4 linked regions of the Arabidopsis thaliana genome follow. The protein of the gene in region 2 interacts with the protein of the main gene of each other region in a pairwise test. Each region holds a gene or a part of one and is shown on either strand. Other genes may lie near its edges. The genes, in order: AMT1;2, RPK2, AT4G27610 and LPAT2.

Evidence for each region.
Region 1: the proteins of RPK2 (region 2) and AMT1;2 interact in a protein complementation assay, tested with the Arabidopsis thaliana proteins (one large-scale study listed by BioGRID).
Region 3: the proteins of RPK2 (region 2) and AT4G27610 interact in a protein complementation assay, tested with the Arabidopsis thaliana proteins (one large-scale study listed by BioGRID).
Region 4: the proteins of RPK2 (region 2) and LPAT2 interact in a protein complementation assay, tested with the Arabidopsis thaliana proteins (one large-scale study listed by BioGRID).

What each region holds. Positions count from the first base shown.
Region 1 is NC_003070.9:24,060,123-24,064,580, reverse strand, and holds AMT1;2 (ammonium transporter 1;2), read left to right. Parts: upstream 1-1,776; 5' UTR 1,777-2,015; coding exon 2,016-3,560; 3' UTR 3,561-3,941; downstream 3,942-4,458.
Region 2 is NC_003074.8:378,688-385,118, forward strand, and holds RPK2 (receptor-like protein kinase 2), read left to right. Parts: upstream 1-1,662; 5' UTR 1,663-2,038; coding exon 2,039-5,494; 3' UTR 5,495-5,895; downstream 5,896-6,431. Other genes in the region: AT3G02125 (pinin-like protein), read left to right, coding at 1-296, 407-695.
Region 3 is NC_003075.7:13,784,870-13,790,114, reverse strand, and holds AT4G27610 (intracellular protein transporter), read left to right. Parts: upstream 1-1,599; 5' UTR 1,600-2,031; exon of another isoform or gene 2,032-2,741; 5' UTR 2,742-2,782; coding exon 2,783-2,966; intron 2,967-3,053; coding exon 3,054-3,158; intron 3,159-3,751; coding exon 3,752-4,467; 3' UTR 4,468-4,702; downstream 4,703-5,245. Other genes in the region: AT4G27620 (intracellular protein transporter), read left to right, coding at 368-1,056; NARA5 (pfkB-like carbohydrate kinase family protein), read left to right, coding at 5,110-5,245.
Region 4 is NC_003074.8:21,347,405-21,353,695, forward strand, and holds LPAT2 (lysophosphatidyl acyltransferase 2), read left to right. Parts: upstream 1-1,978; 5' UTR 1,979-2,346; coding exon 2,347-2,424; intron 2,425-2,791; coding exon 2,792-2,914; intron 2,915-3,023; coding exon 3,024-3,063; intron 3,064-3,177; coding exon 3,178-3,251; intron 3,252-3,546; coding exon 3,547-3,606; intron 3,607-3,826; coding exon 3,827-3,904; intron 3,905-4,064; coding exon 4,065-4,223; intron 4,224-4,429; coding exon 4,430-4,555; intron 4,556-4,798; coding exon 4,799-4,891; intron 4,892-5,023; coding exon 5,024-5,110; intron 5,111-5,183; coding exon 5,184-5,435; 3' UTR 5,436-5,789; downstream 5,790-6,291. UniProt on the Arabidopsis thaliana protein: Converts lysophosphatidic acid (LPA) into phosphatidic acid by incorporating acyl moiety at the 2 position. Has preference for C-18-CoA substrates compared to C-16-CoA substrates. Required for female but not male gametophyte development.

The sequences.
Region 1 (4,458 bases), on a different chromosome or scaffold from region 2:
TAAATCAAATAATCGCTGGAGACAAAACCCTATGTTAATCGTATAAACGTTTGGTAAGTTTGAAGGATGAAAAGAAACGATTATCTTCCAGGAGTAGAAAAGAAAATTTTTGGAAGCTACGAGGACTAGATCTTCTTGTGTAGAATGACATAAACTATGCTAGTGAGCAACACGTCCTTCAGCATTTGAATGACCGTCAAAGTTATATTGTTTACCAGAAAAGTGTATTTAATCACGTGGTTAGCGGTTCACTTTTGCGGCAGTTTTTACCATATTTTGACTCTAGCAAATTTAGTGGCGGCAAAAAACCGGAACCGATTACTCAAACTGGAACCGACCCGAAAAATTAGATCCGAATTCGAAGATTTATCTTATTTGTCTTAAATTTCTCTACCAAAAAACCGAATTCGAATTCGACCCGAATCCGAAAATCCGGGTATTTATTCGAAAATTTGGGTATCGATTCCAAAAAAGGCCTGAAAATCTATATTCGAACCCGATTGGACCCGAACCAAAATCAAACCGATATTTTAGAATTACTCTATTGGATCCTAAACTTCTCTATCCAAAAAAACCTGTACCCGATCGGATTTTATCAGAACCTGACTCGAATGCCCATCTCGCATTATCCTGCATAGTAACAATTGGTTTTGGATCGGATCTTGCTGATAACACTCTAATTTTACCCATTTTTTCATAAATCGCATTTATTTTTACCCATTTTTTCATAAATCGCATTTTAAAAACATTTAACGTAATATAAAAACATTTTCACTGTTCATATGTCCATTCATTTTGTTTTTTTCTTTGTTGCGTGATTTCCTACTATCACTGTGATTCCGTGAAAACCTAATACGATTTTACTATTGAATCTGTTCATCTTTCCTTTGTTGCATATATATTTTTCCTGTAATCACAAAATTGAACCCTATATATAGTTTGTAGCTTTAACAGTTTATTCTCTAATACGTAGTGCAATATAAATTCTATGTGAAATCGGTACCTCAAATTACAACATATTTGTTTGATTAACTAAAAATACAAAAATAAATGGCGCTAAAAATCACACAGCATCAAATAATGCCTATTATTCAAGTCGAATTACGTATTCAGTTGTGAAGTAGTTGTAGTCAAGTTGAAAATAATTTTTATATTTAATCTAGCGTGATAATTTTATAACTATTTGAGTGATCGTCCTTGCCCCCTATATCACATTCATATAAATGATACATCATTCATGATCTATCAACTATTGACTTCATCGATACAAACGAAACGAAAAATTACATTTTTCAAATTATTTTAATTCCAAAAAAGAAATCAAATTATTTCTCCTTTGAATCGTGCCGTCAAAAAAAATAAATTATTTCTCCTTTGTAAGAACATTAACTAGTTCATATAAAATATTGAGTTGGAAAAATAGACATACAAATTCATTTAAAAGAATCATATCGTCATATGCTTGAACTTGTTCTTTAATGTCGTACTTCTATGTAGCGATGTTTAATTAATTGTTTCTCATAAACAAATGCTGACCCGATTCCTTGTCATACTAAAATAAACGATTCAAACACTAAACGAAATATTATAAGAATTTTCTTTTTTCTTTTTTTATTCGTATAACCAAAATTAATTGCACACAAAAACTGATTAAATATCTTATTAAAATAAAAAAATCTTCTTTAAAAAATTAACTTTAAATATGTTCAAAACTGAATAGAAACTAAAACAAAACTATACCAAAACAAATTTATTAATTTTATTTTAGTTTGATTACTACTGTTTAAAAAAACTTAAACCAGAGACCTAGAATTTTAAAATTCAGAAAACTTCTTTTAAAACCTCAACTAGAAGAAGAGTAAGTAGTACCGCAACTTTTTGTGATGTAACGAAATAAATATGCTTTTTTCCACTTTAAATACACCAAAGACACTCTCACCACAAGTACTCACTTAAGCAAACACGTTCCACAATCAAGTACCCTCTCTCTATCTCTCCCTCCCTCCCTCTCCACCATGGACACCGCAACCACCACATGCTCTGCCGTAGATCTATCTGCCCTCCTATCCTCTTCTTCTAACTCAACATCTTCCCTCGCCGCGGCAACCTTTTTATGTTCCCAAATTTCAAACATCTCCAACAAACTCTCCGACACAACTTATGCCGTCGACAACACGTATCTCCTCTTCTCCGCCTACCTTGTCTTTGCCATGCAGCTCGGTTTCGCTATGCTTTGTGCTGGATCAGTCCGAGCCAAGAACACTATGAACATCATGCTTACCAATGTCCTTGATGCTGCCGCTGGAGCCATCTCTTACTACCTCTTCGGATTCGCATTCGCCTTTGGTACACCTTCCAACGGATTCATCGGTCGCCACCATAGCTTCTTCGCTTTAAGCTCTTACCCTGAACGCCCCGGCTCCGACTTCAGCTTTTTCCTCTACCAATGGGCTTTTGCCATAGCCGCGGCCGGAATCACTAGCGGTTCCATCGCCGAGCGAACGCAATTCGTTGCTTACCTTATCTACTCTACTTTCTTGACCGGTTTTGTTTACCCGACAGTCTCGCACTGGTTCTGGTCAAGTGATGGATGGGCTAGCGCGTCCCGGTCTGACAACAATCTCTTGTTTGGCTCAGGTGCTATTGATTTCGCAGGTTCAGGAGTTGTTCACATGGTAGGTGGAATTGCCGGTTTATGTGGAGCGTTAGTTGAAGGACCAAGAATAGGTAGATTTGACCGGTCAGGCCGGTCCGTGGCTTTACGTGGTCACAGTGCATCCCTTGTCGTGCTTGGTACCTTCTTGTTGTGGTTTGGATGGTATGGGTTTAACCCTGGTTCCTTTTTAACCATTCTTAAAGGCTACGACAAGTCTCGGCCATATTATGGTCAATGGAGCGCTGTAGGTCGCACCGCGGTCACCACAACGCTTTCTGGCTGCACCGCTGCGTTGACTACTCTATTCAGTAAACGGCTTTTAGCAGGTCATTGGAACGTTATTGACGTATGCAACGGACTTCTAGGCGGCTTTGCAGCTATAACCTCCGGATGTGCCGTGGTGGAGCCGTGGGCTGCTATAGTATGTGGCTTTGTGGCATCATGGGTTTTAATCGGATTTAACTTGCTTGCCAAGAAACTTAAATATGATGACCCACTCGAGGCTGCTCAGCTCCACGGTGGATGTGGAGCATGGGGATTAATCTTTACCGGGCTGTTCGCAAGGAAAGAATACGTTAACGAGATTTACTCCGGTGATAGGCCTTACGGACTGTTCATGGGCGGGGGAGGAAAACTGCTCGCCGCGCAGATCGTTCAGATTATTGTGATCGTTGGGTGGGTGACGGTAACTATGGGACCGTTGTTTTATGGGTTACATAAGATGAATCTTTTGAGGATATCAGCAGAAGATGAGATGGCAGGAATGGACATGACACGTCATGGAGGATTTGCTTACGCATACAATGACGAAGACGACGTGTCGACTAAACCATGGGGTCATTTCGCTGGAAGAGTGGAGCCTACAAGCCGGAGCTCGACTCCTACACCGACCTTGACTGTTTGATACTTTGATTGGAGAATTGAGTGGTCCCAAACGAGTCAGTTTTAATGTGGTGAAGACAAGAGTTCGGGCACCAAACATGTTGGACGCATCTTTGTGTATTATTGGTCTTCTTCTTCTTCTTTTTTTTTCTCTTGGTTATCGCTCTGTTGTGGACAGATAGTGTGGAACTGTTAACAATAACATGATCAGTATGTCTTTTTAATTAAAGTGAACGTTTGGTATCAAAATTAAACATTGGAATTTGAGCGGTCTTGAGACATTTTAAATGTTAAGAAAAGAGAGGAAAAAAAAATCTTGTACGATAGCATGTTTTGTTTTGATAAAATGAACGTTAGAATGTTAATCAATAATCACCAACGGAAATTAATCAGAATTGTCGAGTTTTATTATAAACGAGTTTTTTTTTTGTGGACGAGCTTATCAAATTATCACATACTGATCATAAGAAAGTTGTCTTGGGTACTTATCGGTTATGTTATCACCACAAAACTATGTAACCTTTTTTTTTGTTGTTGTTCAAACCACATAATACGTAACCATGATTCGGGATTTGATATCATAACCTATGGTTCTAGGCTTCTAGCTAGTTCCATGGTATCCATTGGTTCAATGATTCTTTTCTGTTGATTGGTCGTCAAATTTTCTGAATAACTAATATTTTAAATATGAAAATATAAATATATTTATATTAGTATATTACTACTTTAGAAAACGGATGGTCCGGAGCCTCGTATGTACTTTATCCTTTTTCCCATTTGCCATAAATTACCGTTCAATTTTATCATTTGTCTTCTCGTCCTCTCTTTTTATCATCACCCATTTATTCACCACTAAAAGTTGATCTTATATACTACATACAAATCTGAGTAGCTCCCACCTAGATGTTTGTTTTATTTAG
Region 2 (6,431 bases):
AATGAATATGAGAAAGAGACGATTGCAGAGAAGGAACCATACCAGGTGGAGAACTCAAACTCAGATATTGAGGATAATGAAGAAGAAGAGAAGATGAGTGAAGTCGAGAGCGACGACGAACATGAAGAAGAACAAACAGATATGATCGAAGCGGAGGCTTTAGTAGAGAAAGAAGTAATAGAAACTGTGAAGGAGAATAAACCTGAAGACTCGAACAGTATAGTTTCACATTCTCCGAGCATTTCTTGTCGTTCGGACACTAGCAATAACAGCATTGGTTCTTTCGCATTCCCACTGTAAGTCGTTCTCTTCAAAATCTCAATTTATCGATCCATTTTTGATGATTTCTTGAGCAAGAAGAAACTTTAAAACCCTAATTTTACTTTCTTTGGAATTTATGTAACAGATTGCAAAAAGAAGATGCAGTTACCAAAACGCCGTCTATGCAAATCAAAGGAAACGTTTCCCACAAGCGAAGACCCGAGTATCAGCTGCCTCAATCGCGAATGCTACAGCCACAACAACAACTACAACCTTATTCAGAATCTAATATGCTAACTGAGTCTCAGCCGGAACCACAACCACAAAGGAAGGCATCAAAAAAATTCGAGTCTCGAACGCAATCGCTAAAAGCTTCAAGAACCTGCTGGTTCTCTTGCTTCCATTGTCCTTCAAAATGCGGTTCATTCAAGTAGAGGAGACTTTTAGCGTTTGCGTTTGAAGCGATTCCTCTTCTTATGTGTAAATTGTACGGATGAAAATAGTTGTAAACCAAGAGTGATGATCCAAACCGAGTTCTGGTTTTCAGGATTAACACCATATTTTGGTTCGATTAATTTCGGTTACCGGATGTTGTAAACCGGTTGATGGATGATATAACTCTTATGTCATGGTGATGCATACATACAAGGACCACATTTCATTATTACTTTATTTCAATACGTATCATTATTATAAGTAGTAGCTAAAAGACAGATATATTTCACTAAAAGAAAAACAAACCTTTTTTTCTTCTAATTGAAAAGGTTATAAACTCAGTCTTTTTATCCCCATAAATGTGGCTAATGTGTTGTGTACATGACAAAATTATAAATTTATATTTAAGAAAAAACATTTTAATTTGCTTTATCTTGAAGCTTCCTTTAGTTATATCCTTGAAAAGAGGCGATTCTGTCCCTTTTTCACTTTACAATTTCTCAATATTTTTGTTATAAAGAAACACATCTTTGTCACATGCATTTATGTATAGTGGCAGGCGATTTTTCTTTTAGCGTGAGATTATGAAATTTTCCTAATATAATGCATGTCCATATACATATATCTATCTGTAATAAATGTTAGCTTCAAGATCTTAGCATAACATTGGTCGATGAGAGATTGATACGTCTAGGAGAGTTGAAATATTGTTACATTTATTGTGACTCAACATATTTTATTTCATCACTTCGAATAAACAAAAAATTTAAAATAATCTGTCCTCAAATTTAGTGATAAGATAATCTTGCATCTACCTACTGTTATCAATCATGTACCTATTGCGATTTGATGTGGTGAGACTACAATGATCGATGTTAAAAACTTTTAATGTTAACTTCACTACATGATCGATAAATAATCAAAAATTGCTTCTTCCAAGTTAAAATTACACTAAAGAGTTTGTTAGCCAATAGGAAATAAGGAAAGTGGACCCACTCTCTCATTCACAGAACGATTTTTTATTTTTTTCTGCATAAATTAAATTAAAAACATTTTTAAGATCTTTTATCAAAAAAAAAAAAAAAGAGAGAGAGAAGAAAAAAACGCGTCTTCCTCAGTGACAGTGTTGAATTCTCTCATCTCTTTCTCTCTCTGCTTCATCAGTTTCTCTCACTACAAAGCTTCTCATCATCTCCCTAAATTAGGGTTAAAGGGTCGAGCTTGGGATTGTTTCGCACGGTAAAAGGAAGGATCTTTTGCTCGTCAATTGCTATATTAGCAGACCTTGCGAGGTGGGTTTAGGGTTTTGTTGTAAAAACATTTTTGGGGATAAGTTACGAAGATGACTTCTTTGCCTTCTTCAGTGATCAAATGGCGTTTTTTCCGCAGACAGATGCCTTCAGACGTTGTCTTCTCGCTCTGCTTACTCTGTTTCGCCTCCTGTCTCGCCGGAAAAATCACTGTTTTAGCTGATTCGGACAAATCCGTGTTGCTTCGGTTTAAGAAAACGGTATCGGACCCTGGTTCGATTCTAGCTAGCTGGGTCGAAGAGAGTGAAGATTACTGCTCCTGGTTTGGTGTATCTTGCGATTCGAGCTCTCGAGTCATGGCTCTTAACATTAGTGGCTCTGGAAGTTCTGAAATTAGTCGAAATCGTTTCACTTGTGGTGATATTGGTAAGTTTCCGTTGTATGGGTTTGGTGTTCGGAGGGATTGTACCGGAAATCATGGAGCTTTGGCGGGGAATTTGCCTTCTGTAATCATGAGTCTCACAGGACTTAGGGTTTTGTCTCTGCCTTTTAATTCGTTTAGTGGAGAGATTCCTGTAGGAATCTGGGGAATGGAGAAGCTTGAAGTTCTTGATCTGGAAGGGAATTTGATGACGGGGTCATTGCCGGATCAGTTTACTGGGTTACGGAATTTGCGGGTTATGAATTTGGGGTTTAACAGAGTTTCAGGTGAAATCCCTAATTCGCTGCAGAATCTGACAAAGTTGGAGATTTTGAATTTGGGTGGTAATAAGTTGAATGGAACTGTTCCTGGTTTTGTTGGGAGATTCAGAGTGTTGCATTTGCCGTTAAACTGGCTTCAAGGCTCTTTGCCTAAAGATATTGGGGATAGCTGTGGAAAGCTTGAGCATTTAGATTTGTCTGGTAATTTCTTGACTGGGAGGATTCCAGAGAGTTTGGGGAAATGTGCTGGTTTAAGGTCGTTGTTGTTGTATATGAATACGTTGGAGGAGACTATCCCTTTAGAATTTGGGAGTCTTCAGAAGCTTGAGGTTTTGGATGTTTCTAGGAACACTCTTAGTGGTCCATTACCTGTTGAACTTGGAAATTGCTCTTCGTTGTCTGTTCTCGTTCTATCAAATCTGTACAATGTGTATGAAGACATTAATAGTGTAAGAGGGGAAGCTGATCTTCCTCCAGGCGCTGATTTAACCTCGATGACCGAGGATTTCAATTTCTATCAAGGAGGAATCCCGGAGGAAATCACTAGGCTTCCGAAACTAAAGATACTTTGGGTGCCCAGAGCTACGTTAGAAGGTAGATTTCCAGGAGATTGGGGTTCATGTCAAAACTTGGAGATGGTTAATTTGGGTCAGAACTTCTTTAAAGGCGAAATTCCTGTCGGTCTTAGTAAATGCAAGAACCTTCGTCTTCTTGATTTGAGCTCGAATAGGCTTACTGGGGAGCTTCTCAAAGAGATTTCGGTCCCATGCATGAGTGTTTTTGATGTTGGTGGAAACAGCTTATCGGGTGTAATCCCTGATTTTCTCAACAATACCACAAGCCATTGTCCTCCTGTTGTTTACTTTGACAGGTTTTCTATTGAATCTTACAGCGACCCGTCGTCTGTTTATCTCTCCTTCTTTACCGAGAAGGCTCAAGTTGGAACTTCCCTGATAGATCTTGGAAGTGATGGAGGTCCGGCCGTGTTTCATAATTTTGCAGACAACAACTTCACTGGTACTCTCAAGTCTATACCACTTGCACAGGAGCGGTTGGGAAAGCGAGTCTCTTACATATTTTCTGCTGGAGGGAATCGGTTGTACGGGCAATTTCCGGGAAATCTGTTTGATAACTGCGACGAACTCAAAGCTGTTTATGTCAATGTAAGCTTCAACAAGCTCTCAGGTCGGATTCCTCAGGGACTAAACAACATGTGCACTTCTCTTAAGATTCTTGATGCCTCGGTGAATCAGATCTTCGGGCCAATCCCAACAAGTCTCGGGGATCTAGCTTCACTTGTTGCTCTTAATCTGAGCTGGAATCAGTTGCAAGGTCAGATACCGGGTAGCCTCGGGAAGAAGATGGCAGCTTTGACATATCTTTCGATTGCGAATAACAACCTCACGGGGCAAATTCCTCAGAGCTTTGGTCAGTTACATTCCTTGGATGTTCTTGATCTCTCTTCAAATCATCTATCTGGCGGTATTCCTCATGATTTCGTAAACTTGAAGAATCTCACTGTCCTGCTTCTCAACAATAACAACCTCTCTGGCCCAATCCCGTCGGGTTTTGCGACATTTGCTGTTTTCAATGTTTCCTCCAACAATCTGTCTGGTCCAGTTCCTTCAACCAATGGACTGACGAAATGCAGCACTGTTAGTGGAAACCCCTATCTTCGACCTTGCCATGTGTTTTCTCTGACAACACCGTCTTCGGATTCCCGAGACTCCACGGGTGATTCTATCACGCAGGATTACGCATCTTCGCCTGTTGAAAACGCTCCATCTCAGTCGCCAGGAAAGGGTGGATTCAACTCGCTAGAGATCGCCTCAATCGCATCAGCTTCAGCGATTGTCTCGGTACTAATTGCTCTTGTAATTCTCTTCTTCTACACAAGGAAATGGCATCCGAAATCGAAGATCATGGCCACTACAAAACGAGAAGTCACTATGTTCATGGATATCGGAGTTCCAATAACCTTTGACAACGTGGTTAGAGCCACAGGAAACTTCAACGCAAGCAATCTGATTGGAAATGGTGGATTTGGAGCGACCTACAAAGCAGAAATCTCTCAAGATGTGGTTGTCGCAATCAAACGCCTCTCGATCGGACGGTTTCAGGGAGTCCAACAGTTCCACGCAGAAATCAAAACTCTTGGTAGACTTCGACACCCGAACCTCGTGACTCTCATCGGTTACCACGCTAGCGAAACTGAGATGTTCTTGGTGTACAACTATCTCCCAGGAGGCAACCTCGAGAAATTCATCCAAGAAAGATCCACAAGAGATTGGAGAGTTCTTCATAAGATCGCTCTGGACATAGCTCGAGCACTCGCTTACCTCCACGACCAATGCGTCCCACGGGTGCTTCACCGAGATGTTAAACCGAGTAACATCCTCCTAGATGATGACTGCAATGCGTATTTATCAGATTTCGGGTTAGCGAGATTGCTTGGGACATCGGAAACGCACGCAACAACTGGTGTGGCGGGTACGTTTGGGTATGTAGCTCCCGAGTACGCAATGACATGCAGGGTATCAGACAAAGCAGATGTATACAGCTACGGAGTGGTGCTTCTAGAGCTGCTTTCGGACAAGAAAGCACTTGATCCGTCATTTGTGTCGTATGGTAATGGTTTCAACATAGTGCAATGGGCTTGTATGTTGTTGAGACAAGGAAGGGCAAAGGAGTTTTTCACAGCGGGATTGTGGGACGCAGGTCCGCATGATGATCTAGTAGAGGTTCTGCATTTAGCGGTTGTTTGTACGGTGGATTCTCTGTCGACGAGGCCGACGATGAAGCAAGTTGTAAGACGGTTGAAGCAGCTACAACCTCCGTCGTGTTAGCACCTCCCTCCGCAGGATTTGATTATTATTCTTTCTTTAAAAAAAGTTCTCTCAGTTGTAAACTTGTATGTGTACGTAGTAGTTGTTAGAAGAAGAAAGAGAGGTTGAATTTCCTATGGGTTCTCTCGAGGGTAAAAAGGACATTTGAAAGGGGAAGCCATAGGAAGGTTGATCTCTCTCAGTAAGCAGAAAACCATAAAATGAGAAAGAATTGTTTGTAGCTAATTTGTTTCTCCCACTTGTAAATTGTTTTATACTAAAGTTTTGTGGGAGTTTTTCTTTCTTTTTCGATTTTTAGTATGTTTAAACTGCCGATCCTTTTTGTTTGATTGACATTTCCATTTTGAGAAACTTGGGCTATGGGCCCAATAATATATGCGAATAAAAAAACTCGGGCTATGAGCCCAATATTAACTTAGAAGACCGACAATGCTATCAGTATAATCCCCATAAGAAAGCAATTCCACCCATTTGGGTTTGAATGGTACATCATTGGGTCTTGATTCATGATTGTCGATCTTCTTCGGTAGTGGTCTGGCTTGCTTTGGTTGAGTTGGCATCTTCATCCTTCTTGAAAGACAGCGATGTGAAAGGTTCTTCTATGTATCTAGTATCAAATAGAGCGACTCTCGCTACTACATGCTACTTCCATGAATAGTTAACGCCAAGCGTATTGCTCGATAATAAAGACGAGTATATCCATCCATTGGCTCAACATTTGTGAAACATCCGTTCGTTGAGGCTAACGGTTTCATTTGAAGAATGGAAATTAGAGCTTATAGCCATTAGTGTGTTACGAAAGATCACCGTTATCAATCATATATAGCCCCCTTCTTGGCTCACTTATCGCATTAGTTACAAAGCAGTCCTGACGATCCACAATTAGACTTAGAGAGAAAACTTAGTTCTCTTACCATGGTTTTGCTCCCTGCTTCCT
Region 3 (5,245 bases), on a different chromosome or scaffold from region 2:
TACTGAATTTGCTTATACATAACTTCACTTCACATAGTCTCTTACTGGGGTTTGATTTTGTGGTATCTTTGAAGTGAAAAGAGATTTTGGGAGATGTTGTCAAATAGTTGAAAGAATATGGAGATGGTTCTTACATATTTGTAGCCTCTAGTATCTTGCATAATGATCTTTGTAACCCAATCAGGAACAATATTTGACTAAAGATGTCTTTGTACCCCAATCAGGATTCATACTTAAGTAGCTACTTACGTTAATGAGCTGGAAACTATGAAGGCTGTAGTATTATCCCCCAATGATGGCTTGTGTTATGGCAGAAAAGTTTTGTGTGGGTGTTCTGAGAGTTGGCTTCTTATTTTCATTTATGCAGGAACTGAGAATGGGGAAGGAAATCATGCTACAAATGAGCAAATGGCAGAGTCCAGTACTTCTCTGCCTCTTGTGACAGTTCCTGCTTCATCATATAGCAAAGAGAGTGCAGTCGTATGGGGATCTTCTCCTGACCACCTGGAAGTGCCGATGAAAGCATACCATCAACATTCGACCTGCTCAGATTCTCCTTGCGTATCTGAATCCGGCTCAGACATCTTCAGCAAGCGAGAAGTAATACAGAAACTGAGGCAACAGCTGAAGAGACGTGACGACATGATAGTTGAAATGCAGGAACAGATTCTAGAGCTGCAAAACTCGCTAAACGCCCAGATGGGACACTCTAGCCATATCCAAACACAGCTAGACGCAACAAACAGGGACCTGTTTGAATCAGAAAGAGAAGTCCAGAGACTGAGAAAGGCAATCGCTGATCACTGCGTGGGACACACAGGTAGCAATGGTTGGAGTGGCGATGTGAACAGCGAAAACAACTACGAGTCACCAGAAAATGGAATAAGGGATGGAGAAAGAATAGAGATGTTGAGAAAAGAAGTGGGTGAGCTTAAAGAAGTGATAGATGGGAAAGAGTATCTACTTAGGAGCTATAAGGAGCAGAAAACAGAGCTTTTGCAGAAGGTAAAAGAGTTGCAGCAGAGACTGGACTCGCAGCTCCCAAACATTTTGTAGGTGAAGAAGGTTAGGCATTGTGCATTCTTACCACTCTCTTTTGTTTCCCCGAGTAAAAAATATGAATCTTTGTTCAAAAATATCTCAATTTCTCCGGGGAAACTTATCAACTGACTACATTGTTTTGGGTGTCAATTATGATTTTATCCAAATTGTTTTTTTCTCTTGGTGAAGTGGATATTCGAAAGTTGCAAACTCATACAATATCGTGTCTCAAGGCTTAAATTGTAGAATTGCAGTTGAAGTTTTTTACAAGAAAGTTGGTTACTTGTTCTTAAGGAAAGAGAAAGAAGGGTTGCTAAAATTTAATTTGGCACTTATTTCAGTCAGGTTTTGATATTCATAAGGAAGAAAATCGTTAGAGAAGGAAGGACCAAATATTTAATTTTGTAGTTGTCACATAGTGAAGAAGACAAAAGAAAAATGTATCATCACATTAGCTGGTAGTGACTTAAAATAGAAAAAAAAAAATAATCAACAGAAAGTGCAAACATTTACACATGGATAAAGATGTCAAATGTTCATTCATACTCAAATTATCTATTAAATTTCATTACTAAAAAATTGAAATCGTAAAGAAGAAAAGAAAGAAGAAAAAAACATATGAGCTGAGTTTGTTAACCACCGTGAGCGTCATCCATGGGACGTGGTTGACGCGTGCGTGATTTTATTTTAATAAATGAATTAACAGTGGAAGGAAAAAACAACAACGGAGCTGTAACTGTGAGGCGCCGTCTCTCTTCAACCTCTTCCCCTCCACTTTGCTTCTCTCTCTCCTCCCCGGGGGTTTTACAGTCATATCATCGTCGGAGACTCTGCGATTCTTCACGGAATCGTATTTCTCTCTCAGCGATTTTTTTCGATTCTCGAAGCTGCAAGGACCACCCATCAAACATTGAAACTCAAGCGGGAGAAATTTTCTGGCTCGGGAGGGAAACTATGGAGCCCTAATGCCCATTTTCTGCTGTCTATGAGGTTTTTTAAAGAGTCCTTTATACTCTCCCTGTTTTTGGGTGCTTCGCTCGCTCACTGATTTTTGATTCGTCGGAAAATCTATTTTCGAGCTCGGATTTATGTAATTCCTTATTCTCCTTCTGATTGCGATTGTTGTGTTCATTAAGGGTTGTTGGGATATCGATTAACGGCCCCTATCGAAAAAAATAAGGGTTGTTATTATTTTCATTTCGCTTCATGTTCAAGGCAAGTATCTATCTCTTCTTCTTGCTTTTGTAGTTTTAGAATCTAAATCCCATGGCATCAACGTTTCGATTACTCTTTCAGGGAACTCCATTTTTCTTGCATTTGCTTTTTTTGAGGTAGAGTCTGTGCTCCTATATGATTCCATGGATTCGTCGTATACTTTCTCAACTGAGAATGTTTGACTTAGAGAATCTTCCATTTTTTTTTTTGTCTTTCTCTTTTCAGTGTTACTATCATTTTAGATCTTTTTTTTGTTTTTCCTTCTCTGGTTGACTGTGTTTGAGGTAATGCTCAAAACGTGATTCTTTGTGCTCATTATCTTTTCATATTCTAGTTTCTGGAATCTTTCTGGGTATTAAGCATTTGATGATTTTAAAATTGTATATTTGTTGATTTTATTGAGTTGACACCAGGTTTCTTGTTGACATATGCCCAATTCATTCTGATCGTTGATGATGATTGATTCTTGTATCCGTTCAATGTAGGTTATGTTTGGATGATAGATACATTTTGACTTTCTCATACAATGAGTACACGAAGAAATGGCATTTCCAAGCATCAGCGAGGTGATAAATTTTGTGGTGAAGGGCCAAACTGGATACTAATTGCAGGGGGTGCATTGTTGAGCACATTGTCCATTCGCTTTGGATACAAGCTAAAGCAGTCGCTTGATTCGAAACCTCAATCAAATGGCTCTGCTGGATTAAAACGTACTTACTTTATCGCTGTGTTGCTTAACATGTTTTATAATTTGGTTCTAGTTTTTTTCTATCACTAAATGAAAGCCTCTTGTGCAGCTAATGGAACATCTGAGAGGCAAAAATCTACAAGCTGTTGCTTACACTCTACCACATCTTCCTGTACACAAAATAATGATTTTTGTTGCTTCCGCTCCATTCCAGGTGTGACTTTGTAACTTTCTGTTTTGCCTCATACATATTTGTTCAATCTACTAAACAAACGCTATATGCTTGTTTCTTGGTCTCGCATCATGTCTTACTGGGTTTCCTTTCATGAAGTTAAAACGATGTGTGATATATAGTAAAATCTAGTTGGGAGAATGTGTAGATGTTGTTATAGAGTTCTAGCCTCTGTTATCTTACCTCATGATGTATTTGTCAACTAGGGGAATCCAATTCGAAGTTATGGAATGAGTAAAATAGTTACAAGATTTGCCACCTTGCAATAACTGGTTGAATCGAATATCTCTTGTTTCGTTGTGGCATATTACCATTAATTTGCATCAATTGGGCTGGCAACTAGGGAAGCAGGTTTTCTCCATTGATGGCTGTGTCTAGTGGCTGAATGCTAAAAACAGTTACTAGTTTTGTTATCTACCAAGACCTCGTTAAGCATAGTTACAAGTTTTGTACTATTAGATCCAGACCTGAGTTATGTTTTCTCTTTGGAAAATCTCTGAATCCTAATATTCATGTAGTCCAGAGCAAACAGTCGTGTATGGATCTTATCAGCCTTTGCTTCTTTATTTTTATAGGAACTGAGAGTGTGGAAGGAAAAGAGGTGACAAGCGAGCAAATGATATCCGCATCTGACACTTCACTGCCTCTTGTGACAGTTCCTGCTCCATCGAGCAAAGAGAATGGAGTCATGTGGGCAACTTCTCCTGATCGCCTGGAACTTCCCCCAAGACCATACAATCACAATTCAAACTGCTCAGATTCTCCTTGCGTATCTGAAACCAGCTCAGACATTTTCAGCAAACGAGAAGTAATACAGAAACTAAGGCAGCAGCTGAAGAGACGGGATGACATGATACAGGAAATGCAAGAACAGATTCTAGAGCTGCAAAACTCGTATAACGCACAGACGGCACACTCAAGCCATCTCCAGGCACAGCTAGACACACTGAACAGAGATCTGTTTGAATCAGAAAGAGAAGTTCAAAGACTGAGAAAGGCAATTGCTGATCACAGCGTGGGATGTGGCGCGGACAGCAATGGCAAGACATCTCCGGTTGGACCTTGGAATGGCGGGTTTATGGACAGCGAAAGCAATTATGAGTCACAAGAAAAGAGCCTAAGGGATGGAGAAAGAGTAGAGATGTTGAGAAAGGAAGTGAGTGAGCTTAAAGAAGTGATAGATGGGAAAGAGTATCTACTTAGAAGCTATAAGGAGCAGAAGATTGAGCTTTCGCAGAAGGTAAAAGAGTTGCAGCAGAGACTGGACTCACAGCTCCAAAACTTATTGTAGGTGGAAAGGTTAGGCATTGTGCATACTTGCGTCTCTTATTTTTTTTTTCGGTTCTTTTTCCTTTTTCGAGAAAATGAATCTTAGTATGTACTAAGAACGGTGGAGATCAAGATTTTCAGGTTCTTTCTGGCTTTCTGCTTTCGTTTTTGAATGTCTTGATTCTGTTTTTTCTTTCAACATTTGGTGTAAAGGTAAATAGATAGTTGTTGAAGAATTTACCGCGGGAATAGCTCTCTACTTTTTTTTTTTTTTTATTCTCCGTAATTGGTAACTAACCCGATAATTACAAACGCCACGTATAAGGATGTGTTCACTAGAAGAATTAGCCAATTTTAACACAAATGATAAATAGTATAAACAAATTTTAAATTTATAAATAGACGCAACATACATTATTATTTTTAAGATACAGTTAAAATAAAATTGTTAGCAATTATGCTTATTCTGAAATTTTGGGTTTGAATATAAATAAGAAATAGAGTTTTATCCTAATAAGATTTATATAAATAAACATATAAAGTCAAAGTCATACTTTATCCTCTCAGAGGCCGTCTCTCGGGTTTTGCTGGTCTTCCTTGCTCCTCTCGCTTTTGAATGGAGATGTGAGCTTTCTTCATTCAAAGAGCAAAACTATCTAATTCCATGGCGTTCTCCCTCCTCTCTCCAATTCCTACCTCTGCCTCTCTTTTTTTCACTCTCTCCGCCATTACCGCTTCTAATAATGCTTCCTCCTCCTCTCTCTCCCGTCTTTACTCTTTATATCACCCCAAAGGAACCT
Region 4 (6,291 bases), about 21 Mb from region 2:
TTAGAGATCGAAATAGGGTTTGAGAATTGGAAAACAGTGTGAAAATAAGCTAAAGCAGTTGCAATCTCCTCAGTTATATTCATTGCAACGTTCGATGAGATCTTCTAACAGCATCTCCCCCCTCTAGCTCTTGATATCTTATTCCTCAACTAATCGAGAAACACTTAACTTTGAAAAATAAAATGACAAAACTTGAAGACCTCACACACTCTCAGTTGATCAAAACGAAGAACACTAGCTAAGATATAAAGTCAAGCTGTCGTTGTTGAATATCCCACAAAGTCGTCCTTCCAAGAAAAAGCTCACAACAAGACTTGCGGACTAATTTCATAGTTCTTTCTACATCACCTGAAAACTAGTTAGGAAGCTAAGGCTTTCTCTGTTTTTTTTTTGTTTGTCATTGTTCCACTGGTTCTTTGCTACAATTTAGGAGACTAGAACAAAACTAAATTTTTTGTTTGGTTATACAATGCAAAAAAATATCTGCAAAATAAGTGATTTAGTCTCTAACCGAGAAAAAAGTAATTAAAAACAGAGCAATTACTAACTATAATTTCTGGTGTCATTTTGAGACTATAGTTAAAACTTACAAGCAATGTTTTACATAAATCATTTTTAAAATTATAAGTAAAAATGTTGGCGCCTCAGTATTTCAGGTTCGATTCCCATTGTTCTTTTTCAAATTGGATAATTTAGTCCACATTGACAAAAAGAAAGAAAAATCATAATATGTTTAAGGATGCGTCAAGTGTATGCATATATATTGTTGTAAAAAGAAAAAAGGTGTATGCATACGTTTCTAACATATTTTGTCTGGCAGTCAACTATTTGTTATGAATATGTACAATCACATAGAAATGATAGCATGTGGCTATGTTACGTGAATTAAGGCAAATGATCTTACGTAGGGAAAATTGTAACTAAAAACTCAACAACCCTTATTTGTTTTTTTTGTTATCTTTTCCACTTTGCTGCAAAATTTATTGGAGAATCTGAATAAAGCGGTGAGCATAGTACAGCTGAAAATAACTAGATGATGAACTTGTTCTTTAGTTTGTTTTGATTCTTCATTATATTTAAAGAAAATTTGGTTAGATAGATCAACCACTTCAACAATACTTTTGTAACTTCAAATATTTAATAACAAAAAAATTAAAAAATGTTTGAACTTTACTGAAATGAAATTTCGATATTAGAATACTAAAGAATCAAACGTGCACTTAAATATCATTTAGTTTATATTTATACAAACCATGAAAGACTCTCATACTTTACACCGCACATAAACAATCAGAACCATACCAAACCATGTGAATAGAATCACAAAGACGTCATGCTTTAATTTACAAGCAAAAAAACAAAAGGCATCGGCTAGAGAATAGCAAAAAGAGGAAGAATTGAACGGAAAAATTGAAAACATATGGAACAAAGTGGAGCACTTAAACATCCACGGTAATATTAGTATATTAGTCACCTTCAGACTAGGGCCAGACATGAACAAAGGATTCGATGTTAGTGACAAGTAGCATATCAGACTAATAAGGATATATATTAAGCGGTATGGGTAACACATTAATCCTTTCTCCAATTACATTCTCTTTAAGGTTCTAAGATCCGCCACTAGGCCATTTTATTGGTAAAAGTAAAACCATTTTGGTGGTCGTCTATGAGTGTTAAGAATTATGTAACAATTTTTTTGGATTCACCTGAAATAAATCTGTTGATTTGAAATATTTGGACGTTACATTTCCATATATAAGCTTACCATACAAACATTATAATTAATTGGAAAGTCCAGCTAGCACTTTTTACCACATGCAAAGGGAATTAATCCTAACTTAAAAAATTAGGAGTAATCACATCTTGGTAGTGTATACCGATCAATTTCCGACAGACGTTTTTTTTTTCCTTGCCCATTGATTGCATAGTTCAAAACTTCAAAGTTGGCCAATCCAACCAAGTCGAAGAGATAGGAGATGTTTTGAAGTATGAAAACAAATAGAGGGGCTAAAATCAAAATAACAAGAAAAAACGCTTCTGCCGTGTTCGAATGTGTCCTCGTGATCATCTCCGTATATAATCAATCAATCAATAAAAATCCAGAGTTACAAACACTCTTCTCAAAATTTTCCCATTAAATCGCAAAGTTAATTTTGCGATTTTTTTTCTCTTTTTTTCTGGTTGGGTTATTTATTTTCCCCTTTTAAAAAACTTCTGCAACTTGTCTTGAAATCTGGGGTAAAATATTTCTTCATTGGTTTCTGGAAATCTCGGGGAACGATTTGTTGGGTTTTCTTCTTTGTACTCTCTCCTCACATTAGCTTTTGTTGGTGGGATTTTTTGAGGATGGTGATTGCTGCAGCTGTCATCGTGCCTTTGGGCCTTCTCTTCTTCATATCTGGTCTCGCTGTCAATCTCTTTCAGGTTTGGTTTCTGATTCGTTTCTGGTGTTACTCTTTTTAGATTCCGTTGTTGTTCTACATTGTAGATCCTTTCTTCTTTTGTTTTGATTCACTGCTTTTAGGGTTTCCTTCTCCAGAAACTTTGATTCTTTCGTTTTTGTCGGTGATTGTGTCTTAATTCTGAGTGTGCATATGAGAGTATAAGCTCGAAATTGACTCGTGGAGCTCATGCACTGAGCTATAGAGTGTTGTTTGATTCTGCGATTAAGTATCACTTTCTTCAGATTTATCTTGATTTCTATGTTGATTGAATCGAGGAAGGAATCTTTTTTTCTCTCAACTTCGTTTGCTTCAGTTTTGATGTTTACTACTACATATTGTTGTTTCAGGCAGTTTGCTATGTACTCATTCGACCACTGTCTAAGAACACATACAGAAAAATTAACCGGGTGGTTGCAGAAACCTTGTGGTTGGAGCTTGTATGGATAGTTGACTGGTGGGCTGGAGTTAAGGTATCCACAAGCTTTCTCCTTTTTACTAAATGGTTGTTAAGCTTGGATTTTGTTTTATCTTATCTAACTCTATGAGTTCCTCTCAAATTTCTTGTTTCTTTTCCCTTAGATCCAAGTGTTTGCTGATAATGAGACCTTCAATCGAATGGGTAAGTTCATATGCTTATTGGCAATCAAATCAGTTTCTGATGTCTTCAAGATATAAAATTCCTATGTAAGAACGAATCTGTAACTTCATTGACTGTCCTACTATTTTTTTCTAGGCAAAGAACATGCTCTTGTCGTTTGTAATCACCGAAGTGATATTGATTGGCTTGTGGGATGGATTCTGGCTCAGGTACATAATTTCACCTCACAGTTTCATCTATCTTCCTACGTTTTTGTTTGAATGCATAAATGGAGATCAACATAATAGACTTCTTGATGAGAAAGCATGTATACTTGCAATGGGACCATGTATTGCTTCCAAGTATCTACTTAAGAAAGATTATCTTAGGTAGAAGGTGACAGTCCCTAGTGATCATCTGATGAGATATGAGAGAGTATAGCATCATCATATTTTCTCTTAACACGCTCCCTGTTATGCTGTTTACATCTTTTAATCTATTGTTTCATATTTTCTTTCCTTGCAGCGGTCAGGTTGCCTGGGAAGCGCATTAGCTGTAATGAAGAAGTCTTCCAAATTCCTTCCAGTATGTGAATATTTTAGCTTACTGCTGTGTGCTTGCTAGATTTGAGAGAAAATAGTAGTAATCTTTAATTCTATTTCTGAATCTCTTCTATAAGTTAGAAATTTGATACCTGGCTTTGCGTTTGAGAAAAAATCATTGTTTTAGGTTAATACACTTCTCCGCCTTTTTTATCTGTTACATATTCATAGTACTCATAAACAGAATTTTCACACACATACAGGTCATAGGCTGGTCAATGTGGTTCTCGGAGTATCTCTTTCTGGAAAGAAATTGGGCCAAGGATGAAAGCACTCTAAAGGTATGGGTTTATAGTATCCTTGTGCAACTCATTTAGTTTTTGCTCCTGTGTAAAATGCTTATTAGCACGTGCAGCTACCTCGTTCATGAGGGGATTAGCCTAAAAATGCAGAATCTTCATTTCCAGACCATGAGTTATGTGTGTTTGTCTAAATTTACAGTCAGGTCTTCAGCGCTTGAGCGACTTCCCTCGACCTTTCTGGTTAGCCCTTTTTGTGGAGGGAACTCGCTTTACAGAAGCCAAACTTAAAGCCGCACAAGAGTATGCAGCCTCCTCTGAATTGCCTATCCCTCGAAATGTGTTGATTCCTCGCACCAAAGTAAGTTGTAATATTTTTCTTTTGTTCATTCCTGGGGCAACTTGATATCTTCTCTGTGTCCTTTAAAAAGCAAAATGATTGCTATGATGATCCAAAATCTCAATGCATGGGTAGCCTTTATACGTTTCATTTTCATCAGATCGACTTGGTGGTTGTTATTGTGATTTCTGCCCTAATTACTAGACTTGCTTGTATTTTTGTTTCAGGGTTTCGTGTCAGCTGTTAGTAATATGCGTTCATTTGTCCCAGCAATTTATGATATGACAGTGACTATTCCAAAAACCTCTCCACCACCCACGATGCTAAGACTATTCAAAGGACAACCTTCAGTGGTAAGCAAGCAAAAATATGAATAGGTCGTATAGCAGTTGAATCTTGCACTCTTCTCACAACAAATTTCAAAGTATGCACTGGCTTGGATCACATCACCATCCAATTTACTGAAACGAACATAACTCTTTATATCACCTTTACTTTTATAATGTGTAAGAAACCGTAGGACTCATCCCATCCCAAGCCTTTTTCTTTTAAAACCTCCTGCGCCATTAACGCAAACCATTGCTGCTGGTTTCAAGGTGCATGTTCACATCAAGTGTCACTCGATGAAAGACTTACCTGAATCAGATGACGCAATTGCACAGTGGTGCAGAGATCAGTTTGTGGCTAAGGTAAAAATTATGGATGTACTGGTATTTCCACGTTTCAGTTATTGGCAATAATATATTTGGTCAAGATTTGATAGAGAAAAGCTTGGAAAAGCTTTCATTTTGGTATTCTCTCATCTCGTCTCTGTGATACAGGATGCTCTGTTAGACAAACACATAGCTGCAGACACTTTCCCCGGTCAACAAGAACAGAACATTGGCCGTCCCATAAAGTCCCTTGCGGTGAGTCTATAAAATTCATAACATTCTCTTGGTTCCATCTATAAACTCACAAATCTCTTGATCTTTTTCTCAGGTGGTTCTATCATGGGCATGCGTACTAACTCTTGGAGCAATAAAGTTCCTACACTGGGCACAACTCTTTTCTTCATGGAAAGGTATCACGATATCGGCGCTTGGTCTAGGTATCATCACTCTCTGTATGCAGATCCTGATACGCTCGTCTCAGTCAGAGCGTTCGACCCCAGCCAAAGTCGTCCCAGCCAAGCCAAAAGACAATCACCACCCAGAATCATCCTCCCAAACAGAAACGGAGAAGGAGAAGTAAAAACTGGTTCTCACAGATCCAAACATCAAACACAACAAGAAGAAGCGCGTGTCAGTTTTGTTATAAGAAACAGAAAACCAAAAAAAAAAGACATCCAAATGAAAAATCCCTTAATATTATCAACTCCGTTTTGTTCAGCTACTATATTACTACTACTACTACTACGCAGCCTATGTCTCTTAGTCGATTGATGTATAGGGTCATGATCAAATCAACGATTTAATCCCTATAGTCCCTTGGGATTTTTTTTCTCAAGTGCATAGGCCTTGTATAACTTTCTATTTTTAGATTGGAATTTGGGATTGATATTAGACATTTTCCTTTTATTATTAAACTGTTTTGTTCCTTGGTTCTCATTGCTAGTGTAGAATTTATTAGGCACAAAACATGTTATTACAAGACGTTTTAGAAGAAAAAACAGAATTTATTCATGTACATAAATTATCTGACTAGACTAATCCTACTGGGACTTAATTGTGATTAGACAAAAAAAAATTCATTTTGAGAAGAAAAAACAGAAACCCGTTCATGGAATTAACTGAGATTAGACAAATTCAACTACAGTATGACGGTGATTACAGGGAGAATATCGTAAAAGAACAGGTTTTATTTTCTTCCATTTTTGATAGAACACATTTTTTTTTTTTTAATGAGTGTATAATATAATAAACACAATTTTTATTTTAGTTTTCTCAACCCTAAAACTAAAACCCTTTCACGCCGATTCAAAAGAAAAAAAAAACCTTCACAAGTCCGGTTGCTCGCGCCGCTTTTCTCTCTGTTTTCAAACTCCGATTAAAGTCCCGACTTGTATCAATTGATAAACCCTAATTGTCTCCGTTCTTGCTGAAACACT